Mus musculus: one gene and its partner. The protein of the gene in region 2 purifies or fractionates together with the protein of the main gene of each other region. This does not show direct contact. Links are inferred from orthologs where the notes say so. Each region holds a gene or a part of one and is shown on either strand. Other genes may lie near its edges.

Region 1 (9,370 bases), on a different chromosome or scaffold from region 2:
CTCTCTCCATTCAAAGAACTAAGATGCCAGTAGCTGATTACAGAGTAGAAGAAAACACGACACAGTTCTGACCCCAATCAACAGCATTCTTGGTGCTCATTACGATCATGTGAAGAAATACTGCAGAGCGTTTCCTCTTCCCAGCTCCTGCCATCACTGGTCCTCAGTGAGGGTCCAGATGAAGTTACGACAGGGAGAGCGGGCAGCCAGGGAAGCAAGGGAAAAGAAGGGCTCTCAAAGGGGCAGTGGGCATACAGCAATGTCTACAAAAAAACTGGAGTTACCCCTAGTGTCTAGAGAGCAGGGTCTGGTTCATGCCTGACACTCCACAGTACACAGGATGCTGCTCCCAATCCAGCACAAAATGCCAGCAGCACTGGGGCCAAGAGTTTCTTGTCTCAAGGCAGACCTGCTGGGCTGAAGTGATGTGGGGATGGGGAAAGGGATGGATGCTGGGGGACACTGACAAGGAAGCTCTGAGAGCTGACCTGATGACAAAGGCAAAGCTCTGAGAGCTTGCCTGATGACAAAGGCAAAGACTTCCATTTTGGTCTCCCTACTTTACCATCCCAGCATTAATGACCTTGGGAGCCAACAGGCTGCACTTCTCAAGGGGAAACTGTTTCTGGTAGCCGCTTCCCCAAGGTTGACTTTATAAAGCCTATCTGTTGACTTCAGCTTATTTTTTCCTTCATACATTAGAGAGAGGAAAATAATTTGCCAACTTAAATCTTGGTTTCACAGGAGACAGCATGCAAATCAGTACCAGCTTGCAGCATTCGATCACCTTAAACCAGAGACATACTTACCATTAACTAGAGACATACTTACTGGTTAACTAGAGACATACTTACTGGTTAGCTAGAGAGACATACTTACTGGTTAACTAGAGACATACTTACTGGTTTAGCATTTTCTGCTGGCAATTCAAACACACATCTAAGTTTTGAATCCATAAGGTCTTCCGGTTTTGCCTCCTTCCACTAAAACAATTTAAATTTAATAATCAGGGTATTATCAAGCTGCTGGAAGAATAATTCTCCTCCTATAACTGACAATTTCAGAAAAATACTCTTAATGAGAAAGCCCTGATGTATATCAAATAAAGAACTTAAGTCCGCTGAGATTTCAATATTTTTAACATGACAAGATTAAATGCACTAGCTCTCCTGAATATTTATCACACTTTGCAAACCCTGCAGGCTTGCTGCCTGGCTCCTTAGAGCCTGTCCAAGCTCACTCATTGCTGCTGCATGGGCAGTACAGGCCTGGGGAGCACGGCTAAACAGGGTCACCCACCCTCTATAAAGGCAATTCCAGGTCTCTTTAAGACAATGAAATTTACACGACAGGGCAAACACTACCAAGCGAGCTGGAGGATGAGTATCTAGCCCACCTTGGCACACGCCAGTGGGGCACATCCCACTACAGTGGCTGCATCAGGGTGGCCCTGCCCAAGTTACCACAACCATCAGTGATTTTCTGGTATGTGCCCCTCACTGATGTCTCCATTCAGATGTAGAAGATGGGACTCCAGGAAGGGTTGGGAATGACAGACCAGTAGAGCAGCAAGGTGACAACTCAGAAAAGGAAGACACCCACCCTCACCCTCCCAACTGTGCATGGCAACTAGGGCCCTCAGTCTGTCTGGCACCAGAGCACTGCCACCCTAGGTGTGGCACAAGCAGTCAATGTGACAGCACATCCCCACTCACAGGACCCCTGAGAGCAGAGAGCTACACAGGAAGACACTAACACGTGTGTCTGCCGTTCTGTACAAGGCCTGTGATTGTGTGCCACTTATGAGTCAGAGAGGATCATGAGAGGGCCAGCTCTGGGTGCTCATTGCTGGTCAGCAGGACACTTAAGTGGTCTCAGAGATCTGCCTACAAACTACAGGGCAGACAGGCTTAACACTGCCTGAGCCAACTCACCAAAACACACCAAGAGTGGGACAAGCCACCAGTAACACCACCTGAGTATGGGCCATTCTTACCCCCAAATTTGAATCTGAATTTAATGAGGAAATAATCAAAGCCCTCCAAGCCCACAGAACCGGACCCTAAAGCCCCCAAGGGGCTGTGGGTTTTTTAAAAACCACAGACCACTCTGGAGTACTCAGAGAGCACTGGATGGGTGAGCCCTTTCAGCTACTGATAGCTCCAGTTCACTGTACTGACTGCATATTGTACTACATAGTAAACAGTGTCCGTGTTCTACAGGGCTCAGGGATAGTCAGCAGCCGTCCTCTGTAGGCAGCTAGCACAAGAAAGCCTATGACAGCTAAGGCAGCAAATGTTCACACACAGGATATCGAGGCAGGAACAATAGGGCACTGCTCTTGGTTGCCTGCATGGTGTCAGCTTAAGAGTAACACAGGCTCTCCAAACAGCAGGGCCTGGTGTGGGAGAATCAACAGCCACCTGCGTCCAACTCAGTTTTACTCAGTGGGGTGTGTCCACAGCGCCCTCCAAAATGTGCTGCCCGAACACTTAAAAATAGTTATTCAAGAACAACCCACCGAGAAATAAAAGTCCCTTTATCAGCCTTCAGCGCCCAGCCCTAATTACGTGGGTGACATGTCAGACGTGGGCACACTCTCCTCAAAATCCTGTGGGCTGCATTTTTATGCCCAATTCACAGGTGGCCTAAACCTCAAGAAGTATCAACAAAGTCCGTTCAAAACAGGCATAGCACGGGTAAAGGCAGGCCTCAGCTTCAGACGAGGACAGCCAAGCCCCCACCTTTCCAGCTACACCACAGAGGAAGCCAGGCCAAAGTCACGGCCTGTCAACGGTCCACCGTCTGTGCCTGTCATGTGTCCCTTCAGCACATAGACTAACACAACACAAATCTGGAAACGAAAGGTCAGAGAAATGCCCTGGGTCGGTCTTATGACAAGGTCTCGCTCCAACTCAAAACTTGTCTCAACCTTCTCTTTCTGCCCCAAGGTAGGCACCAATGCGAACAGCGGGCTCAAAGCAAAGCCTGTGCGGTGGGGGAGAAGGCCCCCACATAGAGCTCGGAGACAGAACAACTGCTGATAGGCCATCTCTGGGCTGGCCAGATATTGAGGATCAGTGCCGCATGTGCTGGCCCCAGGTCCTGTCTCCTGGAGTAGGTAAGAGCCACCTTTGGGGAGAATTGCCGTTCTAATGCCCCTTCTTCTGGAAAAATCAATACCATAAAATCCTGCTTATTTATAAAAAACGAAGGCATCTTAATTTTACCAAAATTAGGGACACTGTTAAACATGTACTTACATGAGGAAGGAGGGATAAAAATGAAGGCAATTAAAGAACAAAGAAGCAGGGCCTGTTCAGAGACAGAGCAGATGCTTAGTGTGAACAAGACCCAAGCTCCGTCCTCAGTAAAGAGGGAAGAACAAAGCTGACCAGAGCTACTTCCGCTCCGCAGAGGAAAGCAACAGCGGGCAGTATCACTGGGGGGGAGGGGAGGGGCATTTAATGTTAGGCAAACCCTTCCGGGCATGAGGGCTGGAGACAGGCCAGAAGCATCCACTCAGGATAGAGCACGCCGCTGTGGTGCAGGAGAGGGAGGAGAAGGTCCACAAGAGCAGAGAATTGAAGCAAGTTCAGTTCATCGAGTCAGAAAAGAACAGCCATGTAAAATGTTAAAGCTATTCATCAAAGTTGGGAAAGTGGTACAGGGGCCTGAGTGTACACCTCCCTAACAGCACCCGCCATGGCTGCCCTAGCGGGCTGGAGAGAAGAAGAAGTGTTCGTACTTACTACTGCCTCCATATCAGAAGTGTCAGGCGGAGCAAACATAGACTGAACCATAAACTTGTGTTTACTTTTCTCATTGGGATCATAATCGAAAGGCTGTAACATCACTGAGAAAGAAAATATTTCATTAGGAGGGTCACAATGTGGTTATCGGAGTCGTTTGTCACGCTAGGTCTTACACTGTGGAGGAAAACAGCTCCCCAGCTCTCCCATCTGGACCCTGAGGAAGGCCGTGGCCAGCAGAGATGTACAACTTCCCCAACCCCCATCTTTCAGGTCAGCAGTTAAGGCCAGAAAAACTGGGGCCTGTCCCAGCCTCACAGCAGGTGCCAGCTGAGCTGTAGGTGGGTCTGGAACTTGGGTGCCTGATTTCTGATACAAAGATTGTGCGCTCACACAGAGCCACCCTCACCTATCTCACAGCTCTCGCTGAAGACATAAAATGGGAGAAACACCAAAGTCCTATTTTTCTCAAGGAAACATTGCCAAATGATCTTTTCGAGAAAGAAAACAGAATAACTCAAATCATTTCAGGATGGTTTTCACTTCTCTCCACCCCATTTCCCACGCAGCTCATCAAGGTAAGGCTTGAAATATGATTTTGCCAATAGAATTCTGGAGACGGCATAAAAGCTGGATTTGCCACAGCAGGAAAAGCAATTCCAACTCCTGCCCTACCCCCACCCAGAACCCAGAGGGAGCTCACCCAAGGCACCCCGCTGTACTGAGGGAGTCTTGTATTCTGATTCACTTCCTCGGACCTGTTTCCCCATGACTCAGCCAGGCCCAGTTATAGGAGGGCTGCTATACTCTCTCTGCTGCACAGCTTTAATAAGCTTTGCCCCTAGTGGCCTTCCCTGAAACCTAAGTTCACAATCAGGGGGCACCTCAGAGTCAGTGTGGGCCTTGCATCTCCAACCAGAACCTAGGCTCCTGCTCTTCAGACTGCCATTACCCCACTCCATCCGAAGAAGCAGGCGCTGCTGTGGGAGGAGGGCATTATTCTGCTGTCTATTTTTCTGATTAAAACAACAACAACAGCAAAATAAAAAACAGAAAAACCTGAAATAGAACCCAGTTTCCTTAGTCCACAAATGCATGCACACGCGCGCACACACACAGGCACGCACACACGCACACACACACACAGGCACGCACACACGCACACACAGGCACGCACACACGCACACACACACACACAGGCACGCACACACGCACGCACACACACAGGCACGCACACACGCACACACACACACAGGCACGCACACACGCACACACACACACACAGGCACGCACACACGCACACACACACACACAGGCACGCACACACGCACGCACACACACAGGCACGCACACACGCACACACACACACACACACACAGGCACGCGCGCACACACACACACACACACACACAGGCACGCACACACGCGCACGCGCGCGCACACACACACACACAGGCACGCACACACGTACGCGTGCGCACACACACACACACACACACACGCACACACACACATAGGCACGCACACACACACAGAGGCACGCACACACACACACACACACACAGGCACGCGCGCGCACACACACACACACACACACACACAGGCACGCATGCACACACACACAGGCACGCACACACACACACACACACACACACAGGCACGCGCGCACACACACACACACACACACACACAGGCACGCACACACGCACACACACACAGGCACGCACACACGCACACACACACACACACAGGCACACGCACGCACGCACACACACACAGGCACGCACACACGCACACACACACACACACACACACAGGCACACGCACGCACGCACACACACACACACACACACACACACACACAAACCCAAAGGTCTGCCCCACAGCTCCTGCTACTGTGTATCAAAGGATATCAGGCCTGCCTTCTGCAGTCTGTCCCATGAGAAGTTTCTCCTTCCTAGATAGGAGGAGATAAAAGGCTAGGAGGGGTTCCTGCCTGGCTGAGTCCAGGCTTACATTCATTCCCACACTATGGGTCCGATTTGCCTGTAGTTGGTAGCCCACACCTTTAATCCCGCACTCTGGAGGCAGAGGCGGAGGCAGGTGGCTCTCAATTTGAGGCCAGCTTGGTCTACAAAGCACACGCAAAGCCTGGGTCAACCCTAGTATTGAAAAAAAAAAAAAGAAGCAAAACAAAGAAAATGCTTCTTGTCTGCCTCAGAGCTGTCTAAAGATGCTGTTAACTTCCTGTCTGGGAGACCCACCCACCACGACAGCGGTGCAGCGTACTGAATGAAGCAGACACGAGAAGCAGCCTATTAAGACGTCAGATTTGCAGAAGCTGTCAACAACGCCAGCCTTCCAATTTCTTTGAGAATAGCTACTTTCATAAAAAGTATTACTACTAACATGTAATTGACGGATTGTAATTTTTAAAGAAATTAGTCATTTAAAAAATTTTAATATAATAAATATCACTACAGCTCACAAAGACCTGCTACACTCTTTGGGGTCTTCAACTGTCCCTAACACAAAAAGTTTAGAGACTACACAGGAGCACAGCTGCCACATACACTGCCTTCCTGGCCCTCTCTAGAGGGAATCAACTGGACTAGTGCCTATGGGCCCTTTCTATAGGCAACCTAAAGAGAAAGGAACTATCTGCACCCATGCCTGAGCCACAGGGGCAGCTTTGAAGGCAGCACTGCATATGATCCCTGTGCTACTCTGAGTAAGCATATACCTCAAGACCTCAAAACCGCAGCTTTGCCTACAACCATCACCACCCCACTCCTGGCCTACAGCATCATGGTCGACAGCCTCACCACCTCACTCCTGGCCTACAGCATCATGGTCGACAGCCTCACCACCCCACTCCTGGCCTACAGCATCATGGTCGACAGCCTCACCACCCCACTCCTGGGCCTACAGCATCCTGGTCTACAGCCTCACTACCCCCATTCCTAGACTACAGCACCCTACTGCTCAGCCCCATAGTGGAGAGCCCAGAGAAACACTTGATGGCAGGGCACACAGGCAGGCCTAGTGGTGGCCAGTCACAATTCCTAAGTCAACATACATCAATGTTCAGGGCCCCAGTGAGGATAACCAGAGAACCTCAGCCCAGAATGGGAACCAGGGCCTCTGGAGTGCTCTTCTAAGAAGCTCTGGGTATAAGGTGGAGACTTGCCCCTCCCCCACTGCAGAAACAAGAAGAGAAGCAGCTGTCTGCCTCGCACTGGCTGTCCTTTCTGTAGATGACACTCTACAGACCCTTGGTACACCTAGGACCCACCCCCCGCCTCATGGAGCCCTTCACGTACACCACCGAGTTCCTGTTCCTCAGCTGCCACCAGCTCCTGTCAAATCCAGTCTCAGCAGAGATTTTATGAGAACATGGAGGAATAAATGTTGGTCAGCGCTAGCTCGCTGCAAATTGTGGCACAAATTATGTACTTTTTCCATGACAGGCTATAAAAGAGCTTCCCATTAACTTAATTTATTTCATTTAAATACCAGAGACACTGATGATAAAAACCCTAAGTGAACCGTCCCTCCTTTCAGAGCGCATCTGCTGACAGAACATTAAAAGAGGCCTGTTACCAGGAGACAACCTGGGCTCAGTCACCCCTCACCCACACTGGGATGAGGACACAGCCTGCTGCATTAGGCATGAAGGTAGGACCCTTGCAAAGAACCTTCAGGGTCATGAAGAAGTGGATCGATCACACCAGACTTCCCTCAAAAGAGAAAAACCGGGCCACTTAAAACACACACTGGCTTAGAAAATGACAATCTGGTTAAACGCAGCATAAAGGCTGCTTCCGGGGAGCCAGGCAGCCATGGCCGTTTTCATGTATACCACAGTGGAACAGGCAAGTAAGTAAGGAACATCTACAGAGCTCCACTGCACAGTCTCTGAATCTAGCCTGAAGATGTCTCCACATGCGACAAATCCACAACCATTTGACTCTCACTCACTCGCGCTCTTAGTCCCAAGCAGAGGTTCTGCAGAGCTGTTTCTTTCCCACCAAATCAGCTTTCTAGACCTAGGAAGATACCCCACAGCCCCCTACAGCACTCAGATGACAACTTCCTGTAACAGCAGCTACTGCCCAAGCAGAAGAGACCCAGTGGAGTTGCTCACATCCTCTGGGCTTCTTCCCTCCTTTCACAGTCCGAGAGTCAGAAGAGCATCATCTACCAACTCAATGCATTTGCGGCAATGTCGCAGAAGACAAGTGTGAGCTTCTTACAGCTAGGGTGATTAGTGTGGCCATGAATGCTGGACTCCTGAGACAACTGGGTAGGCCCCAAGCCTTTGCCATGAGTAAGTTCATTGTTTCCTTCAGGGGCCACTGTGACTACTTTCCTGGGCCTCTACTATTCAAACCGAGCAGGTCTATAACTAACCTCACCTGGTTACAAGAACACTGCTGCTCTACCTGTGTCCTCTATGGGCCTCTCTGGCTCACGTGCTCAGCTCAGGTAACAAACACCTGGCAGTCTGCTCCATCTGCTTGTGCAGAGCCCACGGTGCGGCCCTCAGCCTTTCTTCAGGATCAAGAGAGAGGATGCCTGTAACAGGTCAAACAGCAAGGCCCCTCACCCTTCCTATGCCATAGCTAACAGCAGAACACAGCCTCCTAGTATAACTGTGCACCCTGAGCCCCACCAAGTGTTAGCTGATCTCAGGGAGACTGAGACAAACCTCTGAGGACTGACCATCTACAACAGAGACCAGTGAGGCCTAAGGCGGGCAGGGGCAGTTCCTGTGCCTGGCAACTTCTCTCTCGCCTGCTTTCTGGGTGCTCATGGCCAGGACTCTCCCAACTACCTTGTCCTCTCCCTTCCTTCTGCAATGAGCTGGCACTGAAGTTACAAAGAGTAGGTAGGATGGGACTTCAAGGGGAGCCAAAGACACCACCTACAAGGACAGGCTGAGATCACTTTCAGCACCTTCTGCTGCCCCAAGTTTTATAGACTGTACTCCTGGCTCACCTTGAAGAGCCAAAAGGTACCTTTCAGCTAGGTATCTCTTGAGCAGTCTTCTAGGTTCTGCCCTTGGGTCATATTCATGAGAAGATGGGAAAGGGCTTCCCAAGAAGCCGGTGTCCTACAGCAAGATCTGAAAGGCTGTGAGCACAATTAAGCTAAGTTTTTGTTGGTAAAATATTTTAAGCCATAATCTAATCTGGTGAAAAGGTTAGAGACTTATCTTAAACTGCAGCCTAGGCTGCTCTTCTCTGGGAGTGGGGAGGACGACGGCTCATGGAGGCCATCCAGTGAAAGGGCTGCGCTTATTCATCAGAGCCTCCAAAGCAAGGGCTGGATCCAAGGAAGTCCCCACAGCAGCCCCTCTGTCCACACCGGAAGACAAATGCCAGGCTTCTTTGTTAACAGGTTAAGTTCACTTCTACCCTGAGGCTCAACACCTGGATGCTGCAGCCCACAGCTGCTTGGTCCAATGCCAGTAAACAGCAACATCCCCCCCCTAGCCAGCACCATCATAAACGGATTAATTATCAATTGCAATACTATCCACTTACATTAATTGACCAGCATCCCCATCCCACGAGCTGCTGATTCTCATTCTGTTCTCTGCACCTCACTGGAAG
Region 2 (10,047 bases):
AACCATTTGTGTAAGTACAACAATAACTCATTTCCCGGTACAGCATGCCAGCACTAGCACATTTGCCTCGCACACTCTAGGCTCTGCAATCTAACCGCCAGCACCAAAAGTAAAAGCAGACACACCCTTTCCGAGAGGTCACCACAGCTTGAGAAGGGCTGGCCAAGAGGATACAGCTAAATGACTGGCAGGGGCATGTGAAGGTCAAAGGACATCATGTGGGACTCAAGTCATCAGGCTTGGCAGTAAGTGCCTTTTCATGCTGAGACATCTCTCCTGGTCTAAAGTTCTAGTTTTTGTTTTAAGAAAGGGTGCTGCCCAGGCTGTCCTCAAGTTTGTAACTCAAAGCAATTTTACTGCCTCAGCCTCCTTATATTGTGATTACATGCAAGGACAAGCACATCTGACTACAGACATATTCTCATTTACATCTTAAAGTTATTAGATTAAGGCTGAAAATTTTCACTTTTTTGGCTCATTGTTGGATTTTTTTTTCCAGTGTCATAATCGCCATAAAATCAGGTATGATACTCCCCTGTTCCTAATAATCTGAAATAACCAATGAGAACATTTCTTCTATTTTGTTGGTTAATGATAATTTCACAAAAATTCCTTATAATACTAGCAGAAAGTAAATAGCAGCTAACGGAGGGCTGGGGTAACTCGGTGGTAGAGCACTGGCTTAGCACGGGTAAGTTCCTGAGTTTACAGGCACATACCCCCCTAAAAGTAAGTCTGCCTACTGACTTTCTGTTTTGATTTGTTTTGTATTTTGAGACAAGGTTTCTCTGGGTAGTCCTGGCTGTGCTGGATCTCACTTTGCAGACCAGTCTAGCTTTGAACTTCAATCTGCCAGCCTCTATCTCCTGAGTGCTGGAACTAATGGACCGGCTTGGCTACTAAACGTTTGACATGGATGCTATAAACTGAACAACCCTACACTGACTTTCTAGAGGTATGTTTCTGAAGGGTAAACAATATTTGCTTTCATTTGCTGAGACAGTTCTGATAAGGTAGCTCATGAACTTGACTATCAGGAGACCTGAGTTGGAAAACCAGTTTTACCATCTATTAGGTGCATGGTCTTAGTCCTAACCACTCACACATTAACTTAAAAAACATCTTAGCTTTAGTAGCTGGTACACTGTAGGTTTCCAACAAATAGCTACTATGCTTCACAATGTGTTCCTTGACACTTAACGGTGCTCTGTAGTCACAATGCCACCAAGGTATTTAGGATTAAAAAGCACAATCCATAAAATAGTGCTAAGTAAGTTTACACGAGGTTTGTTACAGAAATTCAGCAACTTACCTTAGGAGGGATCATTTAAAAAACAAAGCAGAAGGTGGTGATGAAGATGAAGTTTAGCAGCAGAGCACCTGGCCTGCATTTGTGAGGACTTGGATTTGGTTATGCCACAAAAACCCTAGAAGCTACAGGTATGTGTGCACATACGTATTATAAGCACGTTGTAGATCCTTAAGGTAGAAGACAGAATTCTAAATACACAGGAAAAAGCCAGCAATTGCTTTGTTAAACTGAATGATCAGGTTTTGGTTTTGTGTGCCCATATCACAGCACTAGGGAAGTGAAGGTAGGAAGACTGGGAGCTAGCTTGGGCTACGTGGTCATACCCTGTCTTAGATAGGGTGTTACTGCTGTGAACAGACACCATGACCAAGTCTTATAAAGGACATTTAATTGAGGCTGGCTTACAGGTTCAGAGGTTCAGTCCATTATCATTAAGGTGGGAGAATGGCAGCATCCAGGCAGGCACAGTGCAGGCAGAGCTGAGAGTTCTACATCTTCATCTGAAGGCTGCTAGTGAAAGACCGGCTCCCAGGTAGTTAAGACAAGGATATTACAGCCCACATACACAAGGCTGCACCGCTTCAATAAGGCCACACCTCCCAACAGTGCCACTCCCTGGGCCAAGCATATACAAACAATCATATATCCTGACCTAAAATATATACAAAGCAATGAATTAAAATTTAGATGGGTTTTAAGCTAGGTAGGCATGGTGGCTGAGGCCTGTAACCCTAGCATTTGGGAGGCAGAGGCAAGAGGACTGCTACAGGGTCATTCTATGTATTGTTTCAGTCCAGTCAAGAGGACGCCGAGAGACCATATCCCCCCCAAACAGCACCACCACCATCACAGGTGACTTAGCAGGCACATTATCCACAACCATTTACCTGTTTCTCTTCTTCTGGCATGTTTTTTTCCAGTTCAATTAGGTATTCTTCATCCAGTTCAGAACTAGAATCATCGCTGGCTTTGCTCCCTGCCACGTGCGCCCCTGGCTGTTCCTCCTCAAACGAGGCACTACAGTCATGAAAACATTCCTCTTCAACATGGTCGTCCTGTGGATGGGCTTCAGCAGCCTTCGGCAGCTTGCTCTGGCAGTGCTGACCCTTGGGATCAGAAACCATGGGGCTGGCAGACTCTCCTTCTTGAGGATCTGCGACTTTCAGACCATTGAACAGATCTTCTGGGACCTTACAGTCTTCTGACTTTTCCTCCATGCTGAGTTCAGGGAGGGAGGTACGGCTAAATGTCTGGAAAAAAAGAAAAATAATGTTTTTTAGTTATCTTCGTATATATGCAGTCTTTTTTGTTTTTTGTTTTTTTCAAAACAGGGTTTCTCTGTGTAGCCCTACCTGTCCTGGAACTCACTCTGTAGACCAGGCTGGCCTCTGCCTCCCAAGTGCTGGGATTAAAGGTGTGAGCCACTAGTGCCCGGCTGTATACAGTCTTAAATCCCTTCTGTCGGATATTAGCCCCGAAATTTAGAATACCCAAGATATAAGATACAATTTGCTAAACGCATGAAACTCAAGAAGAACGAAGACCAAAGTGTGGACACTTTGCCCCTTCTTAGAATTGGGAACAAAACACCCATGGAAGGAGTTACAGAGACAAAGTTTGGAACTGAGACGAAAAGATGGACCATCTAGAAACTGCCATATCCGGGGATCCATCTCATAATCAGCTTCCAAACGCTGACACCATTGCATACACTAGCAAGATTTTGCTGAAAGGACCCAGATATGGCTCTCTTGTGAGACTATGCCAGGGCCTGGCAAACACAGAAGTGGATGCTCACAGTCAGCTATTGGATGGATCACAGGGCCCCCAATGGAGGAGCTAGAGAAAGTACTCAAGGAGCTGAAGGGATCTGCAATCCTATAGGTGGTACAACAATATGAACTAACCAGTACCCTGGAGCTCTTGTCTCCAGCTGCATATGAATCAGAAGATGGCCTAGGCGGCCATCAGTGGAAAGAGAGCCCCATTGGTCGTGCAAACTTTATATGCCTCAGTACAGGGGAACGCCAGGGCTAAGAAGTGGGAGTGGGTGGGTAGGGGAGTGGGTGGGGGAGCGTGTGGAGGACTTTTGGGATAGCATTGGAAATAAATGAAATAAATACCCAATAAAAAAAATATGGAAAAAAAAAACCCTTCTGTCTTTCACACCTAAACAAACTTCTACATATAACCCCGCCAAACACAGCTTGACTTTCTTTGACTGGGGAGTCATTATTTTTATTTATTTGTTTTATAAGTATTATTGGTTTTTTTGTTTTGTTTTGTTTTCTAGACAGGGTTTCTCTGTGTAGCCCTGGCTATCCTGGAACTCACTTTGTAGACCAGGCTGGCCTCGAACTCAGAAATCTGCCTGCCTCTGCCTCCTGAGTGCTGAGATTAAAGGAGTGCACCACCATGCCCGGCTTGTTTTTTTTTGTTTGTTTGTTTTTGTTTTTTGAGACAGGGTTTCTCTGTGTGACCCTGGCTGTTCTGGAACTTGTTTTGTTCATCAGGCTGGCCTTGATCTCAGAGATCCACCCTCCTCTGTCTCCCCATTGCTGGATTAAAGGAGTATGGATCATGCCTGTCCAAGGAAGTCATTTTAAAAACAGGATATCACCAATTGTGGTGGCCCATTCCTGCAGTCTCATCATTGGGGAGATGTAGTTAGAAAGATCAGAAGTTCAAGGCCATCCTTGGTTACACAGCAAATGTGAGGCTAGCCTGGGCTATGAGACCCTGTATTAGGCCCCTCCCCAGCCCCAAACTAGAGTATAATAAACTCACACTCAATGCCAATTATCATTTTAACTGATAGTCTTGCTGATCAAATATGGTATCAGACTTATACCAAGACTAACATCCCCACTTCCCACTGGTGTTGGAGACCGAATCTCAGACTTTGTGGTACATGTAAGCCATTTAAACAACTGAACCACACCCTCGATCCATACCCTAAATGAAAAGACTGATTTTAATGTGACTTTTCCACGTCCGGCAGCTTGCTGGATGGCACAAATTAGACAGAATCCAAAACAGCTGCAGGGGAAAAAAAAAGAAAGAAAGAAAGAAAGAAAGAAAGAAAGAGTTCTAATCTTTGTTCAGAATAAATGACCAAGTTGTCAACAGGAAACAATGAAGTCCGAATGGGACACTATCGCCACCGGGAGCCGAAGAATAAGTTTCTTATGGAGCCCAAGATGGCATCTGTGCCCAAATCGTGCTTATCATCGTAAGCAAATGCAAGCGGTATAGCTTAGGTAGCTAATTCTGGAAGGGGAGCCTTTGCGCAGATGTTTTCACAGGCATCCTCCAGGGACTCAGAACTCAGCCTTGGAAGAGCCGGTTCTCAACTCTCGCTGCGCAACCCTGCTGCCCAGATCCTGACAATATTGGTCTGCAGTCAGGTCAGAGCATCTCTGTTTTTTTAAAGTGACTCTGATGATTTTACGTTCATCCTATTAACCACTGCTGCTCTAGAAGCTGAGTCAGAACCTCTGCGGTGCCTGCCACCCCTCTGGTCGCAGCAAAACCACGCCAATGACCCAGTGTCGCGTTAAAGTCCGAATTCGTCCTAGCCTGTTAAAAGGAAAAGTTAAAAGGGAGGGTCAGGACTCGCAGGCTTCGCTTTTACTCGAGTGTCGCGTCCCTCCCGGCTATGAGTCAAGGTTAGAAAAGCCCCTCCCCGCGCGACCCCGCGCCTGTCCCAGGCCACAGTCCTCACCGAACGCCGCGAGACCCACGATGGGCTTCACAACCTCCCAGCTCCTCTCTCCACCGCTCCTGCCTCCGAGTCCTTCTACTTCCTCCTGAGTCAGGTGCACTTCCGGCCGCGCTGGCCAATGGCGCCATTGCTGGCAAAGCATTCTGGGAAATGTAGTGGCCAACTCGAAGAGAGTGAGCGGAAGTAGCTGTGTGACGTCACTGTACGGCTCAGTACTATGAGCCTCAGCTGTCATCTTGAGTTATGTCAAATCCTGCCAATTAGCACAAAGTAATTTTTCAAACGCGACTACTTGTGGCTTTAAAAACGTCTTTATTCTGGCGTCCCTCATGTTAGGAATGTGCATAAGAACCCGAAAACATCCTTCGTCCCTAAATAAACATTTCTTTCCAGTAGTTTCCAAAGTGCCTTTCAAGAGCTCTGTTAGGAGAGTAACAGTTTTCAAAACAGTAAATATTACACACTTTTTCCACTCATTTTCTCATGACTGTACAGCGCTTTCCAGAGGTTGTCTTCTGATATAGTGCAACAGAAGGAATACAAAAAGGGGTGAATTATTCTAGCTGTTAGGCAAGTCCGTCTATTTGTGAGCTAGACCTCCAGGCCTTCACCTGTCCTGTATTAAATCAGAGATTTGCAAAAAATTGAAACAATGCCATTCTTCTTGTGACAGGATAGCAAAGATGGAGAAAATTAAAAAGACATCGGAAAGGAAAGTAGCCTTTCATCAAGACTGGTTAAGTCTCTCCTAGGCTCAGTCATGAATTCCCACAAGGGGCTAGGAAGCATGACTTAGCAATTGAGAGCAATGACTGCACTTTCAGAGGACCAGGGTTCAATCCCCAGTACTCACATAGCAGCTTACCACAACTTTAACTCCAGTTCCAGGGCATTTAAGATCCTCTTCTGAACTTCATGGCCACCAGGCACACACATGGTAAACAGGCATACATGTAAACAAACACTCATGCACACCAGAAGAGTTAATTAGATAACAGTAAAGTTAAAAAAATTCCATAGAGTTATACAAAATTTCATAGACAGAAATACTGTTCCTTTGATTTATTTGTTTTTAAATGTAGATACTTTAAGAATTAACACAGAAGCTAGGCAGTGGTGTCACTTGCCTTTAATCCCAGCACATGGGAGGCAGAGGCAGGCAGATTTCTGAGTTGAGGCCAGCCTTGTCTAAAGAGTGAGTTCGAGGACAGCCGGAGCTATACAGAATTATTAAAAAAAAAAAAGATTTAACACTGAAATGAAACATAAGACATACCCATACCGCTGGGCTGTGGTGGCGCACGCCTTTAATCCCAGCACTTGGGAGGCAGAGGCAGGGGGATTTCTGAGTTCGAGGCCAGACTGGTCTACAAAGTGAGTTCCAGGACAGCCAGGGCTAAACAGAGAAACCCTGTCTCGAAAAACAAAACAAAACAAGACATACTCATACCCAGTGAAGCATGAGCCATATTTCTGACTCGTAATTTTCTGACAAATAAGGTTGTGAGATTGTGAGGGGCTAGGGAGATGAGAGATGACTTAGTGTGACAATAAGGCACTTGCCAGCAAGCTTGCTGACCAGAGTCTGATCTCCAGGAACATGTGGTAGAAGGAGAGAACTAGCCCCTGAATGTTGTCTTCTCATCCACACCTATATGTCATTCACACACCTTTATCCACCTCTCTCTATCTCTCCCTTTCCTGATAAATACTAATACTCAACAAAAGAAATGAAAAGTATACGATTCTGGTGTTATTTTCCATAGTTGTTTATGTAATTTGGTTCACTTGAAAAGATGAACTAATAGCAGGAGTTTTTCTTAAAATTTTGAGTAAATATTTACCGTGATAAAAGCATTGAAAAAGTATACCACGTATACCACATCCTTTATTGTTTGTTTGTTTGTTTGTTTTGTTTTTTTTTGTCAAACAGGGTTTCTCTGTATAGCCCTGGCTGTCCTGGAACTCACTCTGCAGGCCAGGCTGACCTCGAACTCAGAAATCTGCGTGCCTCTGCTTCCCAAGTGCTGGGATTAAAGGCGTGTGCCACCACTGCCCCATTTTCAAATCTCTTAAACAGTGTAACTTTAAAATCCACCAGAACAGGTATAATGGGTATAATCTCAGTGCTTGGGAGGTGGAGGCAGTAAGATCACAGAACTTTGTGGCCAGACTGGGTAGGTAGTCTGGGCGTAGTGAGTTCTAGGTCAGCTACGTCTAGAAAGTGAATAGCCATCTGAAATGCTAGCAAAAATGTATTTATATATTAGCTACCAACATCCCCCACCCCCCACGGGCCTGCTGTAATCCCAGCTATTTCCTTGAAGGTGAGATTGGAAGGTTGAAAGTTACAGATGAGTCTGCCTGGGCTATTGAGAGAGTCCACAACTAACCTGGGCATCTTAGTAAGACCATACATGCACAAAACAAAAAGTTTAAAAAACAAACAAACAAACAAACAAACAAACTTGCCTATCACATCTAAGGTCCTTTGTTTAATCTCTATCACTGAAAAGAGAGGGTGTGGGGGAGGGGGAGTAGGAGGGAGGGGAAAAGAGGACAAGGAAGTGGATCTCTCTCTCTCTCTCTCTCTCTCTCTCTCTCTCACACACACACACACACACACACACACACACACACACACACAAGTGCGTGTGTACTGATCACACTGTGAGATTGTGTAGTTAGAAACCTGTTTCTAGTTATGGTGTGTCTCAGCGCTAGGACACACCTTTCATGCAAGAGCTTTCTATTTACTGTAAACAGGATTAAATGGAGTCAACCTTAGGCCAAGAGGTGGAACAAGCAACCAGTTGACAGGAAGTGAACATAGAAAAAAGAACCATAGAGCATGAGAGGAAGTCAGGAGGGCAGATAGAAAGATGCAGGGAGAAGAAAGGAGGGACATTCAGTTGGAAGGGTTTTAAGACTGTGGAGGAAGCCGGGTGTGGTGGCGCACACCTTTAATCCCAGCACTCGGGAGGCAAAAGCAGTCGGATTTCTGAGTTCGAGGCCAGCCTGGTCTACAAAGTGAGTTCCAGGACAGCCAGGGCTATACAGAGAAACCCTGCCTCGAAAAAAAAAAGACTGTGTAGAGGAAATAAACAGAAGCAGATACATAGACCCTGTCTCAAACAAACAAAACAAGGGCCAGTGAGATGGCTCAGTAGGTAAAGGCCCTTGTTGCCAAGGCTGACTACCTGAGTTCAAGCCTCAGGACTCACAATGTAGAAGAGAATCAACTCCCCTGAGTTGTCTTCTGGCTTCCATAAGTAACCATTTTACATAACTTTCTATCCTACTATGGCTGCAATAAAACCTGAAACTCCTTACTGTGACCCCCCCCCCCCAGACTTGTGAGATTCTGCCTCTATTTCTGCTGGGGTCACTGTCCCCCTTAGTCACTTGCTATTCCTAACTGTGCAGAGACTCTTTTCCCTTCTCCAGACCTCTGTGCACTGTGTCCTCTGTGTGACACTGGTGACAGCTGCTCTGTGTCATGCTTGAACTCTTTCTGCAGATATTCCCTTACTGCCGCTAAAGTTTCTCACTCTATCACATGGTCTCCTGTCTTTCCATCACCACCTGGAAGTGATGCCCTTTAGTCCATCAAAAGATCCACAAGACTCTTGTCTGCTTGACTTCCTGTACAGAGATCTAGAAATTTTCCCAGGACAAAACAGGAAACCAAAAAGGTCTTTTTAACCTACTTCATTCATGTATTTATTCACTTGTCTAAGACATGTATCCTGGGCTGACCTTGAACTCAAAATTTAGCTGATCTCCAATCCTCTTATTTCAAGCACCCTTGCCCCGCTCTCCCCCTAGTGTTGGGATAGAGGCATGTACCACAACACCTGGTTTTATCCAGTTTAGGGATTGACTCAACTAACTGAGCCATAGCCCCAGCTCCAGAATTCAAATATTTATTGTGGAAATATATAAAATCAGTAGGTGCCATAATTACAATGTTAAGACTAAGAGTCAGAAAGTTTAAAGTCTGACCTCCGACCCTCACCAGTTACGAAGGGAAGCACAGAGCAAGGGTATAAAGTCTGGTCTGGCCACAGGGTATAAGTTCTTCTAAAGGACTAAGACACAGGACAGATAGAGTTACATTAACTGCAAAAACAAAAAGAGCCTTTGAAAGTCATTTATCCCTACAATAATATTTCTGGGTGTATACTTGGCATGAAAATCCCGTAATTGTTCCGTTTCAGACAACTGGCTCAGAGCCTGGCTGCAAATGAGATCTCTGTGGCTGGCAATGGATGGATGAAGGTACCATGTGTAACTGAGACTCGAAGTCTTGGAAGGAGTTATCCAGGAAGTTGGCAAGGTCAGCATCTTACTCCCAGCTGCCCAGCCCCCATTTGCCCTCAACCTTGGTCATTTGGCCAAAAAAGAGACTTGAGAGCTTCCATTATACACAGAACAGTGAGCTTGCACATTTGCCCTTCCCTTAGGACTCATCAGCCTGGACAAATAATTTATTCTGAGTTATGAAACATATTTTCAGCCTCTTGTTATATTAAATATTGATGCCTGTGTTAAAGCATAATGTACTGTGTGCATTTTGTACTTTGTAAAGTCAGGCAGGAAGCCAAGTCTTTCTTTTTTTTTTTTTTTCTTTTGAGTCTGGGTCTAAGTATGTGGACCAGGCTGGCCTTGAACTCACAGAGATCTGCCTGCCTCTGTCTCCCAAGTGCTGAGTGTTCCACCATGCCCTGCCCTGCTCTGTCTGTCTGTCTGTCTGTCTCTGTCCCTCCCTCTCTCCCTCCTTCTCACTATCATCTCTCTCTTTCCCTCTTTCCCTCCCTCCCTATCTCTATTGCCCATTCTTTCCTCCCCGACTCTCTCCTCTCCGTCCTTTTCCTCTTCCTTTCTTCTGGACAGGGTTTCACCTAGCTCAGGCTGGCTTCAAACTTGCTATGTAGCTATATAGGACTTTGAACTAGTAATCCATCTGCCTCCACGTCCTGAGTGCTCAGGATGTTAAGCATGTGCTACC

Evidence for each region.
Region 1: the proteins of Ttc1 (region 2) and Vapb purify together in Homo sapiens (affinity purification with mass spectrometry; 4 studies listed by BioGRID and IntAct, counting the BioPlex papers as one, with this or other methods). This does not show direct contact. The link is inferred for Mus musculus from reciprocal best matches to the Homo sapiens genes TTC1 and VAPB.

What each region holds. Positions count from the first base shown.
Region 1 is NC_000068.7:173,766,007-173,775,376, reverse strand, and holds part of Vapb (vesicle-associated membrane protein-associated protein B), read right to left. Parts: intron 3,857-9,370; coding exon 3,753-3,856; intron 984-3,752; coding exon 903-983; intron 1-902. UniProt on the Homo sapiens protein: Endoplasmic reticulum (ER)-anchored protein that mediates the formation of contact sites between the ER and endosomes via interaction with FFAT motif-containing proteins such as STARD3 or WDR44.
Region 2 is NC_000077.6:43,742,886-43,752,932, forward strand, and holds the start of Ttc1 (tetratricopeptide repeat protein 1), read right to left. Parts: upstream 5,124-10,047; 5' UTR 5,037-5,123; intron 2,563-5,036; 5' UTR 2,530-2,562; coding exon 2,200-2,529; intron 1-2,199.